Lonchura striata: one gene and its partner. The protein of the gene in region 2 interacts with the protein of the main gene of each other region in a pairwise test. Links are inferred from orthologs where the notes say so. Each region holds a gene or a part of one and is shown on either strand. Other genes may lie near its edges.

Region 1 (7,279 bases), on a different chromosome or scaffold from region 2:
ATCATGCTACTAAAATGTAGTCTATGAAGTTAAAATATTTTAAGACTTACCTGATCATCTGCAAACGTAACAAAAGCAAAAGCTCGGAAGGGTTTAGGAATGAAGACATCTACCACTTCCCCATACTGGGCAAAGAACTGTCGGAGTTCATCTGCCGTCATGTCCTCGGTGCAGCGTCCAACAAACACCTTCCTGCTGCGCAAAGGTTCGTCGGGACTTTGCTGGAGAGAATTGAAGGAAAAAGGTATCACAACTACAGTCCTTGAGAACTGAGTTACAGGATGGCAAATGACACTCTTAATCTAGCCTGTTCTGAGGGCTGCTGATGGAAGAAAGTTTGAGATGGCAGATTTAAGACTTAAAAAGAAATAAAATCTTAAAATTCTATTCCAAGAACATGGCTGCACCTTGGTAGAGGTGGGGGGGAAGAGCCTTAAGAAAATGACCATGGGAGCAACACACAGGGATGGTGACAAGGCCACTACAGAAGAACACTTCTTTGTAATAATTGCATAGAGAGACAAGAATAGAAGCTATAGGTTCAGTTTGGAGCTCAAAGACTTGTTCTGCTCTTCCCCAAATTACTGATTCCATCTGCTTTATTCTGCATTTATTCATGCAACAGGCAAGTTAGGCAGGTATTGCTGGACATCAAACACAGATTTCTATCTGTACTTCATTCCCTCACATAATGAGCGATTTTCCCAACATTTCAAATTACTTCCAGTTCACCCACCTGCTGCCTGTTTTCCTCCCTTACTCTCACTTGTTCTTTTCATTCATAGCAAAGCCACATCTGAGAGCGGACAGTTATTCTGTGCAGTTGCTCTCCCCTAACACAGCTGATAAAGAGGTGCACTTGGAGTGTTTGGTACAAATAAAACCAGCAGTAAATCCCAAAGTACCTTAGAGTTGGGAAGTTTACAGTCACACCATCTTCCATCGATCATGTGACGCTGAGACATTACTTTCACTTGGGTTTCGTAATCCGTGAACCGAACAAACCCAAAACCTTTTGAGTGGCCTGTTTTAATATCCTTCTTAACCTAGGTGGAAAAAAAAAAAAAAACAAAACCCAGAAGTAACCACTAGTATGGAGCATGTTGTTTCTGAATGAATTTGGTAAAAATCTGTTTGAGAGCTCATCTGTCTTACAACCATTCTTACATAGCAACTTCTAATTCCTTAACATCTTCTCCCAAAATTAACAGGTGCATGGAAAAAAAAAAGACATCCTTAGAAAGAGACACGGTTTCTGATCTTGTCCAAGTTTATAAAGCTCTTTTGTTTCCACTTGCTTTTTTGGGAGCCTGATATATACCCAGTGTCCCTCCTTACTTGAGCTACAAATGGATTTTACCTGCACCATCAGAACTTCTCCAAAGGTACTGAAATATTCCTTTAAGTCTTGTTCAGTGGTTTTCCAGGGAAGACCCAAGACTATTAAATCTGAAGTCTTCTGTACAGCTCGTTTCACTTTCACAGCCGATGATGCATCGGTTTCATCCATTTTTCTCTTATTATCTGAATATAAAAAGGTACATTAGACATCCTCAGCGCTGGAAATTGACCCACTGACTATGAACTGCATGGTGTTAAATTATAACCCGTGATGAGGAAGAGTACAGACTGTAAGAGACACACATCAGCTGTTCAGGGCTAAATGGAACACATATCTGCCTGCCCTGAACCAAAGCCAGTCCACAATCGAGTCCTCTTCCAAAATACAAACTGACCCAGTTAGTTCTGCATTAGTTTACTGAAGAATTATCCAGCAACATTCACAGTCCTATAAGGTGGGGAAAACATGAACTTCTAACAAGACTACTTCACTAGCAATTTATTTACTTCCTCTCATTTTTGGGGGGTGGAGCAGGGTGGTCAAGTTTCTCCTTTCCTGTGCACTTCTAAGTGGTATCTCTGACCAAACCATGACTTGAGGAAAACTGTGTGTGAGTACAGAGATTACAGAACACTACAGTGCAGTACAGTACACTACAGTACCCTTTGAAGGCTAGCCTTCAAGGATAAGGCAAGACTTTGTCTTTAAAGTACTTGTTTAGGTAGAGCGTTAAAAAAATACAAAACTCAATGGGGTCAAACCTACTCGGCAGAACAGACACCTGAATAAACAATTGATCTCTGTGAATCAGAGAGTTAAAGAGTAACACGTTGCTGTGTTAGATCAGCAGTGACTGGGACCTTAAAGAAAGCAGCCCTGAACAGAGAACTGAAGCCACGAGGACAAACCTTTGGGATAATTCACGACGTAGACGAGGTTTCCCCAGCCGGCCTCCGGGGCGTGCAGGATGCCCTCGACCAGCCGGACTCCTCGCATGCACTGCGACACTGGGTTTCTGTAGCGCAGACCGCACGCCCCAGGGAACTGCGCCGTCACCGTGGACAACAGCACCGTGCCGTCGTCCTCCGACGGGATTTCGATGGGCTCATCGTTCTCGTCCTCCGTCACCCGGATATACTCCGACATTTTCGCTGGAAGTTACTAAGTACAAAAGGGAAAGAGCAGGCGTAAGCGATCACCCTATCCCCCCCTGACTTGGCTTTCATCTTCGCCCTGAGGCACGAATCTCTTTATTACACAACACGAGAGCACCGAAACGCGCTATTCATTAACACTAAGGCGTCCGGGCCTGCTGTACACCTCTGCCCGTCCTGGAGTTACGGAGATACCAACAGCGACTTGGTCCCCGAGCACGGCGGAAATTCCCAGGGGCGCCATGAGCTCCCCCCGAGAGGCTGTGAGCACAGCCCCCCTCGGCCTCGCCGCCTGCCCGGCCCGCCCAAGCCCGCGACCTCCGGCCGCGGCTCCACCCGCCCCAGCACCGCGCGCAGCCGAACCGGGCCGGGCCCCACCCGGCCGCACTCACCAGCCAGGGAAGGGAACGACGTCCCGAGAACCCCTCAGCACCACCTCCACTGCACTCTATCCGCCGCCGCACAAAATGGCGGCCGCGGCACCTCAAAGGCCAGGCCGGGCCGCGGGCCGAACTATTCCAGGCGGGTGACGGGGGGGGGGGCGAACTGCGGCGGGCGCTCGGAACGCCGCAGAGCGTGAAGCCCCGGCCGTGCCCCAGCGGGCGCCGCCCGCTCGCAGCCGGAGCTCGAGCGGCGTTCTCGGAACCGGCGGCGGAGACGGCAGCTCTCAGTGCCGCGCTCCCCCAGGTGCGGGGCCGGTGGTGCGGTCGTGCCCGCGCCTGCGCGAGCGCGGGAGCTGCCGGGAGCCGGCGCCGCGCGGGACCTGTCCGTGAGGGCGGTAACGACACAAGTGCGAATTCGGATTTGGCTCCCGGGACGGCCCCGAGTAGCTCGCCCGGAGCAGCCGCTGGTAAAGACAGCCTTGCCGAAACTCTGCGACGCCTCTCTCCCGTCTCCGCTACCAGAAAGAACCAGGGCACCTAATTTAAGGGGAAAAAAAACAAAACAAAACCGAAACAAACAAACAAAAACCCGCAAAGTGCCAAAACCCAAACTTGTTCACCTGACGTGTTGAGGGGAGACCTCATCGGAGCCTACAACTTCCTTGTGAGGGCAGCGCAGGGGTAGAGTTCCGATCTCTGCTCTCTGCGGCCACTGACGGGACCTGGGTCAGAGAAAGTTCAGGCAAATATATCAGGAAAAGATTCTTCCCCCAGAGGATGGTCGGGCAGGCTCCCAGGGCAGTGGTCACGGTGCCAAGGCTGCCAGAGCTCGAGGAGTGTTTAAACAAAGCTCTCAGGGACAGGGTGGGATTGCTGGGATGTGCTGTGCAGGAGTTGGAGAGTTTGATGTTATGGGTCCCTTCCCACTCAGAAGATTATGTAATTTCTAGAAAAAAAAACTACGAAAACCAACAAAATAAGCAAAAAAACCTCAAGCAAACAGAAAACAACCAAAACCCCCTCCCATAACTTAAGAGTAAAACCAAACCAATCACAGTCCGCACAGACTCTTCTAACAAGGCCTAAGTAGTGGTGCAGTGTTTCCAGGGTACAATGAGAGGTCTCCACCCCTGGGGAGAGCTTTCCTGTGAATCATCTCAAGTGTACCCTGGGCTCTTCTAGTTGCACAGGAGGAGATTCCACACTTGCACTTGAAGATCCCTTTTTCACAGAATTGGACAGAAGAGAAAGGAAACATTAGAGATGCAATCAGCTGTTATCAGCATCACCCTGGAAGTGTCGGCGTTGAATGTTATGTATAAGTTGGAAAAGGACACAAGCCCTGTTGCCAACAGAGGCATGTGAGCAATACTGGCTGAGTATAGCTCTTGAACAGCATCATTTTGCACTGAGTAGGAAGAATTGATCCAACATGCCTTCTGCAGATTTTATGCAAGTATTCCCTGAGGAAGAGGTAGATTAACCAGGCTGACTACGGCAGAGTTTCATTATTAGTAAGGACAGATGACTCTACTACTAGAAAAGGTTAATCCAGTACCTTGCATTAATGGCTTCTGCTGAGAGTATTTAAGACTCCCACTTTAGATTTCTTCAAGTGCAAAAATTGGCTCCCAGCACCACTGAAGTTCAGCTCATCCATGCCAGTGAGGAGACTCAGTCTTGCCATTTAATTACCATTTTAACAGAGTTCTGAGAAGACCTGACTAGACAGAGGCTAACAAGAGAAGGTAATGCTCTTGAAATGTGTACCTTTTCTAGTGATTCACAATATACAGCCCAAAGCCAGTTCTGTTGTTGTCAAGTCAGCATGGAGGCAGCCAGTGTCATGAACATGGCATGCTGTGAGGATGGAGTGGTAATTGTGTGTCAGCATTATGTGCTGCACCATTTCCACTCAGAGTTCAGCAATAGCACTGTTGAAGAGGTTGTTGTGGTGCTGAGTCAGAGTGGCCTCCATCTCACACAGCATCTGGTGGTAATTTCACTAATGAGCAGAGTAAGCACCAGCCTTGGACTAGATTTTGTGCAGGTAGAAGCTTGAGAACAGGGAGCTCTGTGCTGAATGTAAAACAGGGAGGGAAAGGACAATTAGCCACGAGTGACTTCTGCCCCCAAAACTTCCTCAGTTTTGGCAACAAACAAGCTTAGAATTAAGCAAAGGTTGAATCGGGATTCTTGCAGCACTTCCGTTCTGTTATTTTGCATTATTATTAGGTTTAAGTTAAGCAATTAACAGTAGTATTGCTCTTGAAGTAAGTACACCAGCGGGCATACCACTAGTTAATTCACCAGTTCCTTCACACTGGCAATTCCAAGGGCCCATAGGTGCAGACAAATACAATATGTGGTACTAGCCATCATTTAAGTGCGCCCAGAGGCACAAAACAAAATGCAATGCAATAACTGTTTGCTGCTCTGGGTTAAGTGTGCTCATGGGTACAAGCAAACTCAGTATAATGATCAACTCTTCACCCTCCCAAAAGAACCTGGAATAAAAAACATTATCAATGGGCACTTAAATATAAGCTCCTTATACAAAAACCCCCATGCAACTATGGGTACATGAAAAACATGAAATGCCTGGGCCTATTCCTAATTACAGAGCAGTAAAAGACAGGACAATTTCATGAATAATGGTGTATTGGTCTAGTCAGATTGATAAGGAGGATGAACAGTTTCTCCATAAATACCTACCAGAATTAGAGCTTTCCATTTACAGGCAAATTATCAACATAAAAATTTTACTCATGCCCATCAGTCTACAACAACTACTAAAGAAAAGTTTCCCTGAAACAAAGTAAGTAGTTTTCACCCACATAAAGTACCTGAAAAGATTTCTTAGTCCATGGTACTCACACTCCTAATTCCCTCAGCTAAAACATCACTTAAGGCTTCATTATAGTGCCTGAAATATTTAAGGCAATTTTTCCATCATCCTATGAAATGATGATTCCAATTATCTCATTTCTAATCCACCTGAGATAGTTTAGTCCCGTTGCATAAAGAGGAAGAGTTTCTGCATTCCTTTTGGTTCATACTAATGTTCATACCATGTTACTTAACTCTTCCAGACTGATTAGAACAGGTGATGTGTTTTTTTTAATCTCTCAGCAAACATATTGACAATCAGATTTTTTATAGGTTTGGCTCTTTTAAAGTTCCAGAAGGGCTCAGTGGCTCAGTCTGGGTCCTTTCAGCCCTAGTAGCTATTGGGTGAGGCTTGTTGGAGTGCATGTCACTGGAACTCCAAGGCTCACCAGCCAGGTGTGGTGGTGTCCTGGCTGCTACTCAGCAAACCAGCCCCAGCAAACAGAAGGACTGGCCTGGCTGAGAGCTCTGGTAGGAACTAAGAATCTTCTGTAGTTACTGGAAACCCAAATGGTGACCAAAAGGCCTCTCTGAGCTCCAAAGCCATTACTGGCATTGGCCTGACCTTTACAAGCTGCGAAGAGAACAGTGGGGATTATGTGACATCTCCATCCTCCTGTTTGAGTGGTGCCTGTGAGAACTGTCAAACAATTGCAGCTTACACAGGGAATACAAAAATCACTTTACTCTGTTTTGTTTGGCAGAGTTAGATCAAACCATCTTCAAGTCATCTCCCTTGCCTTTCTAGAGCATCCAATAGCAGAGCCTGGGAAGAATTTCTCCCCATGATTCACAGAGGTATCTAGTCAGTTCCTGATGCTGATGTGCCATGCAGCTTCCAAAGGAATTTGATGCCTTTTATGCTGTAGTGGAGCTGGGATCCAGAGCCTGGGATTCAGAGTCTCTTTTTGGCAAGATTCTATAGTAACTCGTAGCAAGGAAGAGCATGAACTTCCATTGGCATCGGTTGGCATAAACCAAAGGATAAAGGCCACAGACTAGGAACTGGTAAAAAAAATTGCATGTCTTGGTGTGTGACAGGTTCTAAATACCAAATACAACATTGGAATTTATAGAGGGGGTTGGAAATAGAATCTTTCAAAAGCCACAGGTGGCTTGGGTAAGGTGTAGCAAGTACTCTGTAACACCTGGAATAGTGTGAAGGACAGCTTTGGCAGGATTTGTTCACAAGCTGTTTTGTCTAGTTTTCCTTCTATGTTTTTTATCTTTTTCTGCTTTTCTCTCAAGGACAGGGCAGACTGGTTTTGAATAATGCTGGTTTTGAATAATGCACATTGAAGCAAGAGCTGAAGGATAAGACAAAGACTGTTTTTAAAAGAGGCTTTACTGCCTCGTGATTTTTTTTTAAATACATTTACTGAAGATTTATGTAAAATCTATTTTTTGTCTACTTAAAATATCTCAAGTGGATGTACAGGTCAAAATTTAATGCATATGGGTTTTCATTATTTTAAATCATTTGCAATATAAATGATTTATGATGACATCAG
Region 2 (7,760 bases):
AATGAAACCCTCTGAAGTCTTGCAGTATTTACATTTGGCACAGCTATCCTGACAGATGCCACCCCCAAGCACCAATGTTTGCCTCCTTTACTGAGCTCTCCAGACACACACACACACTCAAAAGAAGGTAGTGCTAGCAGAAACTAAGTGTCAGTGCAAACACTGTACCTTCCTCTGGGCTACCCCCTGAATTCTCCTTGATCCCCAGCCACCCTCTCTCCAGGGCTCAATGGGATTCAGAAGGAATCCCAGCTCTGTGAGGCAGAGAATGAGCCCCCCTTCACAGACCCACTGGGGTTCTCATGCAGCAGTCGTGTGGAAGGAAGGCTGAAGTATGTGGCAGCGATATCACTTGTGATATAACTAAACTGTTCACTTCTCATCTACAGCCTCTTTTGAAACCATTGAAAACAGATCTTCAAACATGATACTTCAGCTGCAGCTTTATTAATTCCTGTCCATTTGATTAAGAATATTCTCTCCTGGATTTTTTATTATCGTCAAGATCTTCCTCTCATTCTTCCTGCTTAGCTTAAGAAGAAGATTATTTCTTTTTCTTAAATCTGATTAATCTGGCAAGGTAAGAGAACAAGGATCAACTTTTCAGTTGAGAGACAAGCTACGAGGAGATACAAAATTTCTGATTAGAGAGATTTACAGCAATCCTAAAACAAACACAGAGCTGATTACATTGTGAGAGAAGCTTAAATTCACTGACAGTAAGACAAACTACAGCTTCTCCCTGATGTCCTAGTCCACTCTCAGATTTATGACCAGATTTGAATATAAAAAAATGTTAATGAATATGATTTATCCATGTGCTGTCCTGGCTGTAATTGCACGTGCTCTTGAGTTGGAACAAGGCAACATGGATGAGGACAGCAAGAGCTGCCACTTCACTTACGGCAAATCTAATTCAAAGAATTTGTTATGTCTTTCCACTTATTTTAATAAATAACTTTGGATGGTACAAGCTCAGTTATTAAAGACTGATAAAAAGAGACACACAATCAGTAAAACCAGGGTTATGCAAACCTTTGTTTTGCCTAAATGTGAGAACAGCTTTGATTACACAGAGATTAATCTAACATTTACAAATGTGCTGAAAAAGGCAAATCTGCTCTTAGAGACAACTGCCCCAAACTGTTACAGATATAATTGCTGTTTAAATTGTTGCTGCTTTTCAATAACAGATCTTAAAGGGTTATCCAAGACAGCCCCAGAGCCTGAGGGTTCCCAGATCCTCGGGAGAGGTCACCTCAGGCGTTTGGTGCAGAAACCAGAAGAGCCAGTGCTGCTGGAGCTCAGCATTAAGAGAAACTGTTAAGCCCACAACCCCCCTTTTATTCTATAAAAATTCCCAGACAGATTCTTAGATCTTAATTGCCCCCTATTAAAAATTCACTTCTCGCAGCGACAGGCAAAATAAACTTCCTACCTTGCTGAGAGGGACTGAAATCACAGCTGTAATAAAACCACAAAAGCAACTCACAATTTTAACCAAATCTGTGCTTCACTGCCTGAATCGGAAACACAAAAACACCCTGAAAAAGCGCAGAGCGGAACATCCTGCTGCAGGCAGGGTACACATGCAGCCTCAACACGGAATTTCACCACTTCACCCTTTTCTCCCTGACCTCCTCCATCATGCTCCCACTCTATCCCCTTCCAAGTATTTCCCCAAGGTGAGCACACCTTGGGAGAAGGAGCAGAGAGGCAGAAGCGCCACCACATGCCCTGAACTTTCCAAACCAGCACACCACAGCCAGTACCATCTAACAAGACAACACAAATTATTTGGAAAAGCCCATGGGAAAAGCAGTTTGGAAAGCAAGAGCTCCAGAGTCTGCCTCCTCAGAAAGGCTCGAATTAGCCCTGAGAAGGCAAACTTGCCACACTCAGGGCACAGTGTGGTAATTCACCATGGTGCAGCCACTCAAAGCCTGCTGCTGAAGGGAGACAACCCCCCCCCATCCTTCCTGTCCCTTCCCACTGTGACCCATAGGATGGTACAACACCCTCACAGTTGCAGGCATGTGCCTGAAGGAACCAGTCCAAAAAAACACGGAAACAAACATCACTTCAGCTTCAATACTGCCTGGAAAGGCAGCTGTGGTCAGAGCCTTCACTGAAACCTGCTGCTGCTGCCGCCATGGAAAGCCATATTTTAGAGACATCTTTGGAATAATCAGCTCCCTGTTCGGCCAGGAGATGTTTATCCTGAACTAGAAAACACCAACAACGAGACAAAACCCCCTGAGGCTGATCAAGGTTCGAGCACAAGCACAGGCTTGGTGTAAGTCTTGGATGTAGCGCCAGAGGCGGCTGCGCTCGTGTTTCCAGGAAGTTCTGGAGCTTGCTGCGGCTTCTAATTCCCATCAAAAAAAGTTGTGGAAAAGAAAGGACTGTGAAAAACATTCAAGAAACAGCAAAAAGCACTCCCACTGCTCCCTACTCAAATTTCACCAGTGCCTCAAATCCCACCTTTCCGGATCGAAGTCGCATGAGGGCAGAGCCGAGGGCGTCGGGAAGGGCTGGAATTCCAGCGAAGCGGCCGGAGAAGGGGCTCGATTCCCTGCTCCGGCGCCCATTCCCACTTCCTCCACGTGCCCGTTCCTTCCAGGAGCGCTCACGCGCGCCGGCGGCACTCAACGAGGCGCTGGGATAACTCCTCCCGCTTCCATCGGGATTAAAAATCCGAAAAAAACTCCAAAACCCAAAAAACCCTCAAACTTCTCCCAATCCTAAACAGCACCCGAAACAAACCCAAACACAACCCTAGTCCACCTACCCACCGACATGCCTTGGAAAGGCCTCGGGGCAGCCCACGGGGGCAACAGCGGGGGCTCAGCACCGGTGCGGCCGCCACGACCGAGGCGCCCCGGGGCGCCATGCCGGGCCCGTGCCATGCCGGGCGGCCTGCTCACCTTCTCCTCGACGCAGTTGACGATAATGGAGGGGTACTTGCGGCTGAGCCAGCGGAAGAAGGCCGGGACCCCCATGGCGGCAGCGAGACGGGCTGCGGCCAGCGGCACCCGCGGCACTTCCGGGTCGAGGGGGCGGCGCGGGGCATGCCGGGAAGGGAGGGGGCGGCGCGCGCGGTCACGTGGCGCGGTGCCGCCGTCTGGGGGGGGGCGGGGAGCGCGGCAGCGGCGGGAGCCGGGAGCGTGAGGGGACAGCGCCCCGAAACGGGTCTGCGCAGCTCCTGGCATACAAAAGGGACGCTCACAGGGAAAAAGCAAAACCAGAGGGCACAAGAGTGATATCCAGGAGGGAAAGCGAAACCTGAGGGAAGCCTGAGGCAGCCCCACTGCCGCCCTCACACTCAGCCAAGACAAGTGCGACAACTTCTCTTCAAAAACGGCCATAAAGAAGCAGTTTAACAGGAGAATCACCTTCCTTTAGCACCTTGTTAAAACATGGGGTGCTGCTGAGGGGTGCTTTAGGCTGCACGGCACTGTTGTCCAACAAGTCAATAATTAAGAGAGACATGGATGATTTATTTCAGTGCTGCGTGAGCTGCATGCTCAATATATTCCCTAAATGCAGCACAACCACTGTTACTTAAAAATCCAGAGCTGGCAACATCCTCAGCACAGCCCCTCTTTTAGGATTGATCAGTTATTTCCACATGAGTTACGTAACCCCAGCCAACTCTTCCATGTGCTCAGGGGAAGGGTCTGCACCTCTTCTTGGCCTGTAGGTGTGAGTTTCAGTGTTACGACAAACACGGTTCAGCTGTAGGATACATGGAATTTGGGTGTTTTGCCAAGTTAGGAATGCACACATAGGCATCAACATCTAGATTTCCTATATCCTTAAAGCTTGGTGGTTCCAGGGTGTCCTTGAAGGGATGCACTAATACGTCTCTGCATGGAAGTATACAAAAATATTACATTAGAGAACATCCCGACTTCAGACAATTTTGACTTATCCTGCGTTTGGCAACAACAGAAGCAATTCAGGGCACAGCTGCTCTGTGCCCTCTGAGGGGACATTTCCAGTGGGAAGTGGCTCTTTGTGATTCCTGAGAGCAACATGAGGCAAGGAGTCCCCATGCCCTTGCTCTGCCCGTGGCATAAGCAAATACTGTTAATTTGTGGCCGTTCAACAGCACCAAAATGGAATTAAACGGTTGGGAATTAAATGGGATTAAGACAAGCCAGGTTTTGCTCTGCCATGTCCTGTTGCCATCCATCAGCTCCGTTAGCAGGGCAGCCGCAGGGCCAAGGACAGGGAACAGCAGCCTGGGAGTCATTAACAAAAATAACAAAGTCTCAGCAGTGCTTGCTGAGTCAACGCTGCCGATTTGGGTTGCAGAGGAGAACTTTGGTACCTGGCTAATTCACTGTAGAATAAATTAACCCAGTATTGTGTCTCTCATTATTCTTATCCTCATTTGGCTGTTGTTAAGCCATTTTTTGTTGTCATTCCCCTCAATAAAATCTGTGACTTCAATAAATTTCCCCTGCAACTTTGTAGTCGCACCAACCACACCTGTGGTATCAGCTGAAGATTGTGCTTTATCTGTTCCTTACAAAATGTTCCCTGATTGAAGCTTCCTATTGTAGTGCTTCTCCTCCCGGAATTTTGTAGGGAGCATGGCAGCTTAGCATGAACATTTTATTTGTATTGATGGGCAATCAGTTTTTCTGATAATGATGAAGAAAACAGAAGGCTGGCAGATGCAAATGAAAGGCGATCATCTTATCTTATAATTGCTTGGGTAAACAAGTGCTGGAAAAATGAATACTGCAGCAGACAATTCCTTGAAAAGTTGGTCTGAGCATCAGCAGCTGCACTGGGCAGTGAGCCTGGGTCTCACCTGCTAATTGCACATCCATGAGCACAGCACAGAGCAGAGAACCCTGGGCAGGAGCAAGGAAGGCTTCCTACTCAGGCACTTTCCTCAGATGAGTGGTGCGCTGATGGGAATCTGTTTGGGGTGTATTGATTCCAGTCCCTCTGTCTGTCAGCATCACCTGCAACCAGGGCCAGGCTGCCAGCGTGACAGCTGTGAAAGAGCACAGGGAAGTTGACTAGTTGACTGGCAGGATGTTTTGAATCAAATGAGTCTGTGCACAATAAGAGTATCATCAATAACGCTCTGGAGGAACCTGGCTATTGCTCCGACACCAAGAGGCAGAGATTGCCTGCATGTGGCTCTACAGCCATCCGTCACCTGTCATGGGCCGCTGTCAGGGCTAAGCCAGACTCTGGTGGTGGAAAGCCCCACACACTGGTGTCATGCAGCAGACAGAAAGCGGGCTGACATCAGCAGCCCAGAGTCACTCAGGAGGAGCTCAGAGCTGCAAAGACACTGCGCTGCTGAGGCAATGTCCCTTGGTAGCGCAAGCTGCTGGATTTTTCCAGTGAGGCTGCTCCGCCTCTCCACGTTCCTCCCAGGCCTTGAGCAACATGCACACCCCACAGCACTGACAGCAGGCAGCAGTCCCACAGGACACAGAGCGTTGGTGTGGTAAAAAGGACATTAAAGCCCTCAGTAAAGTCTGGCTTTAGTTACAGAACCACAAGGTTGAAAGGGACCTTCAAGATCATTGAGTACAACCCATGCCCTAACACCTCAACCACGACACTGAGTGCCACATCTAGTCTATTTTAAAGCAGATCCACGGATGGTGTCTCCACCATCTCCGCAGGCAGATGATTCCAGTACTTTATCACTCTTTCTGTAAAAAACCTTTTTCCTAATATCCAACCTGTATTTCCTTTGGTGCAGCTAAAGACTGTGTCCTCTCACTCTGTCAGTTGCAACAGTCCCAGCAGTCTCCCAGGATGTCAGCCTTACTCACAGCAGCCAGCTGTGCCAATAGCTTCTGCTTGGTTCCAAGACTTCTGCAAGTCATTTTGTTCTGTTGAGCTTTCAGCCTACACGTTCCTCTTATTACACTGAATGTTGGTCCCATTTCTAGCTGGGTTTTGAGGAACGGGGTGCAGAGATGGGTGCCTGTGTTGGGAGACGTGGGAGTGCAGCACAGCACAGCACAGCTTAATTGGGGTGCTGCTTTCTGCTTTTGAACTTGTTGTCATTTAAGAACAGCTTTAACATGTCCCCTAGTTTCTCCATCCCAAAGAAAATCTCATGTTTAATGAACGTAATTTTTAGATAAAAGGAAGAAGAAAATTAAAAATGCATTAAGCTCCTGGAGTCATCCAATTACTGTGATGTCCACACAGCAACACCAGCATGGATTTCACAAAGCAGGGAAAAGCAGGAAAGCGCTGGGGCTTGCCACATGTAAATGCTGCTCTGTTCCAAAATGTGCTGAATTACAAATGGACATTTTATGCATTTCTTCTTCTTGATCTGTTGCAGAAGAAGATAAAGATCAAACATACCAGCCCACCCCAGCAGCGCCTATCTGCATACCCACAATGCATGTCTGCTTCTTCCCAAACCCTGTCTAGCACTGAAGTCCCAATATTGGGATGCCACAAGCCTCAGGAGGGGACTGTCATGGGGCAGGATTCCCATCAGAGCAGGAAAACACTGCAGGTCAGAGAGAGCACACAGACAATATATAGGACCCATTACATTTATTTGGTATTTAAATTTTCTTTGCCAATTAAGTAACAGGCAGTGCTGCAGCCTGTGGCACAGTCATTGTGTAAAAGAAAACACAGTTTGTTTCTTCCCAAAAGCCAGTGAGAGAATCTCAGTCATAGAAGTCATCAAAGTCGTCTGAATCTGTGCCGTGGGTCCGTGGGCGCAGAGCAGCCTCGAGTTCGGAGCAGCTGTCGTCAGATTCGCCCCAGAATGCTGTGGGTGAGAAGACGGAAAGCAGAGGTGCAAAACCTTTTCTGTGACCATGCCACTTGTCACAGCCATGAGCACAGGACAGGTCTCCTGAGGCTGACTGAGGGCTGGGAGTTGGGAGCCTCAGCCCCAGGTGTGCGTGTCTGGCATAGTGTCCGGCAGCAGAGCGGCTGCTGGACAGCGGCCTCATTCAATGCTTCCACTCCATTGTGCCACAAGGTAGCTGGGCAGAATATTTCCACTCCAAGCAATTTACTTGACCAAATGCTGTCTGAATTGCAGCTTTGTCTATTCTCTTCCCCTTTCTCCCCACTACTTGACCCTACGATGAAGTCACCAGAGGGCCATGACATCACAGGGTTGGCACAAAAATAGCAATGGCATCACAAATGAAAAATCACCACTTGGAGATCAGAGCAGATCCATGCAGGTCTGATCTCAGTGGAGCACATACATAGCTTTTACCTTAGGCTCTGAGAATCAGCAAACTCTTTTACTGACGGCAGCAGAATCCCACGGAAATTCAGAGTGCCTGAGAGATTTCTGGAGATGTGAATTCTTTTGACCCATGCATAGGACACAGTGGGAAGTGTGGCACATGAAGTCAGGGCCACAGTAGCTGACAGAGCCATGCTCTCTGTTCCTACCTAATCCAGAGGCTGCTGGCTGTCCAAAGGCAGCTAGAATGAGGCTCAGGGCTGGGCCAGGACAGCAGGAGGAGGAAGGCTGTCACAACTCACACACACACTGCAGCTCATGTTTGAGGCACTTTGGTGCCTCTGACAGCACCAGTTGCATGAACACCTTATCTACAAATGCAGCATCTGCATCTTTCATCCTCCATCCCCGGCCCCCTGGGCCGTGGGGCTGTGCTCTGCTGGGAACATCAGAGCCAGCCCTGCGCTGGCTGCCATGCTGAATGGCTCCAAGACAAGAAAGGGGCCAGGCATGCCAGAGTCTTTCAAGTGCCACCAAAGCAGCT

Evidence for each region.
Region 1: the proteins of XRN2 (region 2) and TARDBP interact in binary tests that used the Homo sapiens proteins (3 or more experiments, as listed by UniProt). The link is inferred for Lonchura striata from reciprocal best matches to the Homo sapiens genes XRN2 and TARDBP.

Annotation. Positions count from the first base shown.
Region 1 is NC_134626.1:2,036,107-2,043,385, reverse strand, and holds the start of TARDBP (TAR DNA-binding protein 43), read right to left. Parts: upstream 3,092-7,279; 5' UTR 2,889-3,091; intron 2,504-2,888; 5' UTR 2,489-2,503; coding exon 2,251-2,488; intron 1,525-2,250; coding exon 1,361-1,524; intron 1,047-1,360; coding exon 906-1,046; intron 222-905; coding exon 51-221; intron 1-50. UniProt on the Homo sapiens protein: RNA-binding protein that is involved in various steps of RNA biogenesis and processing.
Region 2 is NC_134605.1:28,057,073-28,064,832, forward strand, and holds the start of XRN2 (5'-3' exoribonuclease 2), read right to left. Parts: upstream 3,067-7,760; 5' UTR 3,003-3,066; coding exon 2,928-3,002; intron 1-2,927. Other genes in the region: KIZ (centrosomal protein kizuna), read right to left, coding at 6,678-6,781. UniProt on the Homo sapiens protein: Possesses 5'->3' exoribonuclease activity. May promote the termination of transcription by RNA polymerase II.